2 linked regions of the Arabidopsis thaliana genome follow. The protein of the gene in region 2 interacts with the protein of the main gene of each other region in a pairwise test. Each region holds a gene or a part of one and is shown on either strand. Other genes may lie near its edges. The genes, in order: WRKY53 and ESP.

Region 1 (4,024 bases), on a different chromosome or scaffold from region 2:
CGACCCAAAAAACAAATTATTTCTACACTATACTTTGCGCAAATCAAATCTATCGAAAACGATTTTGGTAATCCCATTCCCATGAGTGAGTTTTGACCCAAAACAAATTTAAAAAAGTAACCATTTCATTAGTAAAACGGTAAATATGGTTCATAAACCTTTTAGTGGTTATTGGTCCTGTACACTACACTCGTGTGTGTCAACTTCAGCTATGAGATTTTTGCTGTAACTTTTTGGATAACGGTTCAATTATTACAAAGGTTATTTCTTACGTATGAGAGGTCCAAATTACAATTGAATAATATTTGATGACATACAAAGTTAAAAAGGATTAATCATAAGAAATGAATGTTGGAATGGAATGCATCTATCGATCTGACTACTTTAGATAGCTTGATGTTGGACTTAGTCAGCAAAGACCTTATCATACTCTTGTTGTATTGTATATATCGTATCACACAGTGACTGGTTTTTTCTACTTTTCTCTTTGGAACATATCAATCATTATGTATAAATAAATTTTGTCCAAATTAATGGCCATTTGTCTCAACCATAAATAAATATTTATTCACACACCTATATGACTATTTGAGATAATTCCATGGTGACTTGGTCAGCAAAAACCTTGTCATACTCTTGGTGTATTATCACATAACTTTGTAGATTATATTCTTATGGAACATATCATATATATTTGTCCAAATTAAACCCATTTGTATTATTTTCCCCTCTCGAGTTTAATATTTCTTATTTAGAAACAGTTAACAACTTGACATAGCTCACATAATCACTCACAGACTATATATGTATAAGCAACTACCATTTTAAATATTATTTAGTTATATTGTTAGACTGCAACTATTATTTATTTTCTTTGCCAAACAAATTTATATTTTTTCATGTTAATACAATATTATATCTTGAACAAATGTATGCTTAAATATATTGACACAAAACAAAAACATATAGGGGTTTTTAGGAAGAAATTTTGTACAGATTAATTAATCCTCATCAGATTTTTATTTTATATCTTATTTTTAGAAGTGTATGATTTTAAAACTAGAACAATCAAATCTTAGTAAATTTCATTCAACATAATTTTTATGTTATTGCTAATCTATTGAATGTTAATAAGAATTGTATTATACCAAATTACCAATATGTGTTTTGATACTTGTACTTAAAACAGAATGTGGAATATCCTTTCCCTTATTAATGATATTAAACATCATTACAATTCATAGTTATAGCAATGAAATATTATCCATAGAAAGGTTGTTGCATAATGCATACTAGTAAAGCATCAACCAACATATTTTGAAAATATTCTTAATCAAATAAAAAACATATATTGGAAATTCTTTAACAGTAGAAAAAAACATATAATAATAGAGAATCTTAATCACATGTACAAAGTCGTAGTTTTGAAAGTGTACATTGAAAGAGACAGTTGTATAACCCTTTGTTGTCTAATTATATAATTAACCCACTATAGTTAAATAAATGATAAACTTGGTTACAACTACATTAACAAAATTGAAATGTTGAATTGGTCAGCCTTTGACCTTATACTCTTTCACTACCACCACCCCACTTATCAATTACACTCTGGCCCTATACTTCCTTATACCAAAGACTTTTCTTCAATTTGAAAGTTTTGTCTCTCTTTTAAAAAGAAATAAAATAATTATTTATGGTTTGGTCATTTGGTCAAATTTTCAAACACTGAAAATCCAATGCCTTTATATACCAAACCAACACTCATCCATTTTTATCACCAATCCTATAACACTCTCATTCTCATCATATCATTCTTCAATCTATATAACCCATTCTTAATTATACTCAACACACATTATATTTTTCTGATCATATCATTCTTTCAGTCCATCTATATAACCAATTCTTGATTTATACTTAAAACACACATTATACATCTTTCTCATCATAGTTTGTATCAATTTCCTAGAGTAAACTACCTAAAGGAAAAAAAAAATCTATTTTGGGAATCATATACTAAAAATGGAAGGAAGAGATATGTTAAGTTGGGAGCAAAAGACATTGCTAAGCGAGCTTATCAATGGATTTGATGCGGCCAAAAAGCTTCAGGCACGACTTAGAGAAGCTCCGTCGCCGTCGTCATCATTTTCATCACCGGCGACGGCTGTTGCTGAGACTAACGAGATTCTGGTGAAGCAGATAGTTTCTTCCTACGAGAGATCTCTTCTTCTGCTAAACTGGTCATCCTCACCGAGCGTACAACTTATTCCGACGCCGGTTACTGTAGTCCCGGTGGCAAATCCCGGCAGTGTTCCAGAATCTCCGGCATCGATAAACGGAAGTCCGAGAAGTGAAGAGTTTGCCGATGGAGGAGGTTCTAGCGAGAGTCATCATCGCCAAGATTACATTTTCAATTCAAAGAAAAGGTAACAAATTGTTGATATCTTTTTTCACAATTCACCAAATTGAATTTAAAAATCTCATTTTTTCTAGAAACTAATTTGAAATTTGGGTAATTTTTGCAGAAAGATGTTACCAAAGTGGTCAGAAAAAGTGAGAATAAGCCCAGAGAGAGGCTTAGAAGGACCTCAAGATGATGTCTTTAGCTGGAGAAAATATGGTCAAAAAGACATTTTAGGCGCCAAATTCCCAAGGAGTTATTACAGATGCACACATCGTAGCACACAAAACTGTTGGGCAACGAAACAAGTCCAGAGATCAGACGGGGATGCTACGGTTTTCGAAGTGACGTACAGAGGAACACACACTTGTTCGCAGGCGATCACAAGAACACCACCATTAGCCTCGCCGGAGAAGCGACAAGACACCAGAGTCAAACCAGCCATTACCCAAAAGCCAAAGGATATTCTCGAGAGTCTTAAATCCAACTTAACCGTTCGAACCGATGGGCTTGATGATGGTAAAGACGTTTTCTCGTTCCCTGATACGCCGCCGTTTTACAATTACGGAACTATCAACGGCGAGTTCGGCCACGTGGAGAGTTCTCCGATCTTCGACGTTGTTGACTGGTTCAATCCAACGGTCGAGATTGACACAACTTTCCCCGCGTTTTTACACGAGTCGATTTATTATTAATTAAAATTTGTAACAGAGAAATAGATAGTAACTAGTAAGTAATGATCAGCGAGAGTTAAAACATAAAAGTACTTAGAGTAATCTAACGATGCATAATAAGGAATGTTCAACAGGACTTGAACATGATTTCAATACTAAGAGAGATTTATCTAGCTACTGGTAGTAGCCGCAGACTTCTTGTTGTAAGCTTCCACTTCCTTTTTGTATGCTTCCATCAGTTTTGCGGCCTTTCCGTTGTAAACTTGCTTCTCTTCTTCACTCAATTCCTGCAAAGACGTATTCGCACAGATAGATTAACAACAGGAAATTGTTACAAGCCAATGTGTTTTGTTGCTAGTAATTGTGATTTTTCATACCTTCCATTTCAGTGAAATGAGAGCAGTAACAGTAGCGTTGTTTGTCCCGGGACGTTCTTCTGTCAATTTCTTCCTTTCGTCCTTGCTGTAAAAACATGATAAGTTAGGAACTTTCTATAAAGACCAATTCGGATTATAACTTGAAGTAAGTTCATACCTGAAGAGAAAGTATGAAGAAGCAGGCTTCTTTGGTTTGTTAGGGTCAACGTTTTCGTTCTTCTTCTTCTTGGTCGCCTTCTCCTTCTGCAAGAGACAAATAATTATGATCCTGTGAGTCTCTGAGTTGAAATAGACCTTGGTGAGTTAAGTGTGAGTGAGAGAGAGTTATTACCTTGATCAGATTATCAGTTTTCTCCTTCTTCTTAAGCATTTGAAGAGCTTCTTGTTTGTGGAGTTTCAAGAGTTCCTCTTCTTCTTTCTTCTGACTCAGGGCTTCTTCTTCCTTTGTCCTCTTGTATTCCTCCATTGCTTGCAGGTATGTCTCCTTGTTCTTCTTTGCCACCTATTTAAACAAGAATACCTCAATCATTCAGTCTTAAGTCTTTAATGGCAGTGAAATGCAAGCATATTTG
Region 2 (5,848 bases):
AAAAAGGCGGACAATGCGACCGCCCTATATCCGGGAAATTTTCTTTAAAAAAAAAAAATGAGCACAATATTTTTTTTTGTATATACCAAAGAGGTACAAAAAAAAAATTATACATGCAAAAGAGACACAAAATATATATGTTTAAATTTTTTGCTATAAGGCACATAAATGGTATGAGCCGGCACTGGGTGTAGGTGGTCCAACCACGTGGCATCTCCGGTTCATTTCCTCCTCCAAACTTCTCCCAGACTTGTCTCAGTGTTCAACGCATCACCTTCGGTAGACAACGTCCCTGGACGGCTGGACCTTAATGTGCCTTTGGGTCTCGCCAGATCTCACCTCCAAATATTATTATATGTTTTCCCGCTGTTGCATATGCAAACACGCTCATTGCTGAAGGCTTTGCTCCCGTACTCTCTACTTCTGTGTCTGTCAACTTTCCAAAAGCGGGATCCAAGAATTGCACAGCATTAGACTCGTAGTCACTTTTCCCTCCAGGCAAACTTGAAGTCACAAACCCATAAACCACCCAAATCATGACTTGCGCCACAAGGAATCCCGCACCTCTACCCAAACTCGTAGTCACAAATTTCATGCTACGGTATATGTTAAGACTTAAAAGTTAAAACCATTGAGAGAAAATAAATGATAATACGATAAAGTTGTAGATAATTCAATCTTTAATTATTAACACATACACATAATTTGTAATAAAACAGCCAGCCATAAATAAATTGGCTCCTTATTGGACAATGATACTTAAGGAACCACTCACACAACCATGAGTAGGCCTCATTAGAGTAAAAAAGCTCGACGAGTCCCACACACAGATAATTTGTAATAATACAGCAAACCATTAGGGCTCCTTATTGGATAGTAATAAATATTAACGAGCCACACACACAACACAAATCTTGACACGCATTAAGCTGAATTGACCGCATAGAAGTAGAGATCATCAGTTCGCTCGTTGGTCGGAAGCTTTCCGCCATGCATGAGGAGGCCATTCTTTCCATCGACAGTGGCAGCAGTATAGGCAGTCCAACCTCGTGGTATGGCTGGTGCACCTTCTTCTCCCAACTTTTCCCACACCAGTGTCTCGGTGTCCAACGCATATCCCTCATTGGACAGCGTCCCGGGACCATAATGCCCATTGAGATCAGGCCATACCTCACCTGCAAATATTATTATATACTTTCCCACTACCGCATGGGCAAACACGCTCCTTGCGGAAGGTTTCGCTCCTGTAGTCTCTACTTCGGTCCACTTTTTGGAAGCCGGATCATAGAATTGCACAGCATTAGACTCATAGTCATCTTTGCCTCCGGGCACAATCGAGGTCGCAAACCCATAAACCACCCAAATCTTCCCTTGTACCACAGCGAATCCCGCTCCTCCTCTTTTCTCGAAGTTATCTCCTGGATCCGGTAGCTGAGCCCATTTCCCATCAGCAATGTTATACGCCTCGATTGTCCTGAACCGCGTGGGAGTATTCATAGTACCGCCTTTGCTCACCCCACCGAATACATACACATGGTTTTCATCCGAAGCCATCGAATGGAAAGTACGAGCCTCGGGTCCTCCCACCTCATCAAGCTTCGTCAGGAATGTCCACTCGGATGTCACCGTATCGTAGGAGCGAAAGTTTTCGAAGTTGCGGTTCTCATCGCGGCCTCCAAAGATATAGATCTTAGTTCCCACGGCCACCATGCGCACGCCTAAGCAGGATACAGTTGGGGCGTCTCCTTTGGGTTGAGCGATTGACCAAGTTTGAGTGTTGAAGTCAAAGACGTAGAGGTCTTTGTCGATGTGTTTGTTTGGTGTTAACTCGCCGCCGAAACTGTAGAGCTTGTCTCCGACCGCGGCTATGCCGTGTGAACTTCTAGGTCCTGGTCCCGTTCCTCCTTTCTGCCCCACCTATTTATCACCAACATAAATCATACGATGATAATGCATGTGTTTCTTTAATTTCCTTTGATAATTATGTAACACTAGATTTTAATCCGCGGTACACCGCGGAGACAATTCATTTTTTAAAATTAATATATATAAAAATCTGTAAATTATTTTATAGTTTACCATTGTTACTAAGTAACGTTCTGTCAAACCCGTCCTGCCAAACCCGTCCAAAAAAAAAAACTATTTACTTTATTAATATTGATCTTATTTATAATATGTTTATGAATCATTGTCAAAATATTTTAGTCGTTGCGGGACGTTGAACCCACATATTTTTCGCCAATTGGTTAATATATGTTCATTCTTAAAATTTCGAATCACAAAATATGACGAATTTTTTTTTGAGATCTTTTTAAACTCTATATATTATATAATGATGTTAATTATTTTTGATAGATTAAACTTTTTATAAATTCAAATATTAATAATGTTTTATGAAGTTTAAATATACAAATAATAATATTTTAAAAAATTAATATTTTTTGCCTTTTAGGTAATGATATAATAACTCTAAAAGCAAAAATTTAGAAGATTTAAATCTTTAAATAAATATTTTCATGTCTAAATAATTAATGTGAAGTTTATGCTAATTTTAAGGGATTGATGTGAAGTTTGTTTGGATTAAATTTGATTGATAATGTGATTGACAATTTAAATTAAAAATTTAATGTAAAATTAATTATTTTGGAAAAAATATTTAATGCTAATGACATTGAGTTGTAAATAAGTCCAACTCTAAAATTTATTTGATAAAATAGCTGCAAAAATGTATATATAGATGTTATATTAAAAAAACTAGATTCAACGCTTATTAGTTAATGGCTGTGCACAGTACTAAATAGAATTATTAATGATTAAAAATAGAAGTTTCAATTTTTTGGTCAACTATATGGAAACCTTTTAAATACTATGCTTAGGTGTTCTACTTAATTCAAGTATCATCAACTTTTCCTCTTACGTCTATGAACACTAAATTTCTAAAACACTGAATACTCAAATATCTAAAATTTAATTTCCGTACTTGACCCCAAAACAAAGTACAGTAGATTCTTTAAAATATGTTTACCAACAAATATAACATAAAATTATAAGAATCTAATTCAAAATTTTAAAGCATTAATATAACAATAATGGTATTCTCTTAAAAGTAATAACATAAAATTCAAACTTCCAAATCTAAAATATTCATATCCAATCAACATAAAATTTAGAAATATATAACTATAAGATAAGTCTAAAGTTGAAAAACTATATTATATACTAATCTTGTTCTAAATAATAATTTAAATAACATTACATGTTGTTAAAAATATGTCTATTGCAATAATAAATTCGAATTTAAACCGATCTGTATGAGGGTTTGAATATACATGATTGGTAATTTTAATTTTAAAGAAATATTTATTCAGATATCCGATCCTTAATTATCTCTTTAATCAATACCATGATCTAACTTGGAAAGCATATAAAAGTTATATTATAGCTTATCAAAAAAAAAACAAGTAACGACTATCAACAATATTCAGCCTTCGTGATGATATATACGTACTATTATTTAGCCTTTGTGATAGAATACTACGTACTGTTATTTAGTGGCAAACTGGCAATAACCAAGTTAACCTAGATAATGTCTTTTGTACAAAATTATGAACTTTCGAAAAGTTGAATTATCAATTTAAATAGAATAATCCGGGCGTTGGTATGTAGTTCTACCGGCTTAACCTCCATCTACTCATATGAAAAGTATGGAGGTCCCAAATTCGAGCACCACATCGGAGAAGGGACTTATTTGAATTGAAACTTTAATTAACTAATTAAAATATCTTGATCCACTGGCCTTGCAAAGTCGGAGCCATGGCTGCAATATAAGTATAAAAGTGTTTTCGTTTTCTTTATTTGTGTGTGTCTCTTTTCCTTTCCATGGTGTTCTATTTATAGGCCAGTTTAGTGTCAAGAGTAGGTTTAAAATAATTAGGTGAGTACCCACCCGTTTTATTTTAAAACAGTACTTTAACAAGTTATGTTTGATTTTCTTTTAGTTATGTTCATTTGTTGTGTTTTTTTTATATAACATATTAGATGCATCTTATATAGTTATAAAGTTAATTAGACTCATCTTGACTCAAGATATCAATTAAACATTTCTTGTAAGTAAAATTATAAACTAAATTATAGCCATGATGAAAAAGATTTTGGTGGAGATTATATTGTGTATCGAAACGAAAATTATATTAAAATTTATAATTGTACAATAATACCTTCTCATCAAACATTAAAAGTAAATTTTCGAGAAAAATAGTCGTTACGGTGTGTAGGCATAACCAAAATCTAACTGTAACGGTATTTTGGACCGTAACCGAACCGTTTATTAACCGTAACCCAACCGTAACCGTATAAAACGGTTAATAACCGTAACCGTTAACAGTGAAAATAGATCTGTTACGGTTAAGAAAATATACTAACTGTAACCGTTAATTAACCGTAACCGTATCAAAACCGTACGGTTAATCGTATTTTCAAAACCTTAAAATATAGTTATAATAGTGTATAAATAAATAATTATTTCACTAAAATAGTAACTTAAATTGTTTAATATGTCCACTACTATGATCGAAGTTACTCCACTACTCTTTTTACCATAAATCAAATTATAAGTAGTTCATATTATTATTATTTATACTCTTGAAACTGTTTCTTAATGTTCACAACATCTTCTCATTAGTATTGTTTTTGTTTGGAAAATGTAATTAATTCAATCATTATAATTATGATCATTAATTTTTTTATTCATTGGTTTACTTAAAGAAAAATAGATAACTGATTCACTATAAATATTTGAAACACAAAATCACGTAAAATAAATATTATTTGATATATCACTATTTATTTATTTTATTATAAAGTTTAAAAAATATAATATTTTGTCTTATATATTAACTATATCATAATTATCAAATAACCGTAACCGTATGTAACTATAACCGTATTTAACCGTAACCGTATTTAATCGTAATCGTTTTAACCGTATATATAACGGTTAAAATTAAAGTTAAAAAAAAATTATAACCATAACCGGTGGTTAATAAACCGTAATCGTAATAACCGTAACTGTAGTCATGCCTAACGGTGTGTATTTCGGTGTGTACTCCCACATTCTAACTATTCAACCGACAACATATTAAGCGTGAAATGTCGTAAATGGTCATAGGGACTTTGATTTATATAAGGATAAGTTTTAAGTTCACCCATTTTAATTTAAGCCAATCATTATGTCATATGCATACAACACATAAATAAAATTAAATATTAGACAAACAAATAAAATAAACTAAGAGTTGTTATTTAATCCCAACTACATATTTCGGTTTTTGTCTTTATCGCAATTATTAGTTTTGCACGTTTTCACGTATAAATGACAATCTTCACAGTTTTAACTATATATACTTTGGAAAATATATCTTTTATTGCAACTACTCATTTCCCACAAATTAACGTGCAACATTTTATCATAGTTTAGTATCTTTATCAAAATTTTCTGTATTGCATCAATGAATCTCGGTGCCGTGCCAAGGTCCATTGTCGCTTAAGGCAAACTTTTAAAATGTGACCTAACATATTATACTTTTGAAAGAATTTTTTTTTAATGTAAAAAAAATATAAGAAAACGTTGCTTAATTTGAAATTTTTTCATAAATAAATAAGATTTAGTAGTATAAACATTAAGAGGATATTTTTCAAAAGTATAAACATAAACAATGCATTTTTCCAAATTTACTCTACATTATTTTAGTATTGAAGAACATTTAACAAGACAATGATAAAACAAAAATGTTTTGAAATTTCTTTGAAAGTACTGCATATGTTTTACAGTATGAAAATTTCAACCATT

The links.
Region 1: the proteins of ESP (region 2) and WRKY53 interact in binary tests that used the Arabidopsis thaliana proteins (3 or more experiments, as listed by UniProt).

The regions. Positions count from the first base shown.
Region 1 is NC_003075.7:12,391,738-12,395,761, reverse strand, and holds WRKY53 (WRKY family transcription factor), read left to right. Parts: upstream 1-1,779; 5' UTR 1,780-2,022; coding exon 2,023-2,426; intron 2,427-2,525; coding exon 2,526-3,096; 3' UTR 3,097-3,245; coding exon of another isoform or gene 3,246-3,362; 3' UTR 3,363-3,392; downstream 3,393-4,024. Other genes in the region: 3xHMG-box2 (HMG (high mobility group) box protein), read right to left, coding at 3,246-3,362, 3,453-3,537, 3,610-3,695, 3,784-3,954. UniProt on the Arabidopsis thaliana protein: Transcription factor. Interacts specifically with the W box (5'-(T)TGAC[CT]-3'), a frequently occurring elicitor-responsive cis-acting element. May regulate the early events of leaf senescence. Negatively regulates the expression of ESR/ESP.
Region 2 is NC_003070.9:20,170,071-20,175,918, forward strand, and holds ESP (epithiospecifier protein), read right to left. Parts: upstream 3,880-5,848; 5' UTR 3,816-3,879; coding exon 3,783-3,815; exon of another isoform or gene 3,688-3,782; coding exon of another isoform or gene 3,673-3,687; intron 2,295-3,672; exon of another isoform or gene 1,918-2,294; coding exon 925-1,917; 3' UTR 645-924; downstream 1-644. UniProt on the Arabidopsis thaliana protein: Specifier protein that contributes to constitutive and herbivore-induced simple nitrile formation. Converts glucosinolates both to epithionitriles and to simple nitriles in the presence of myrosinase.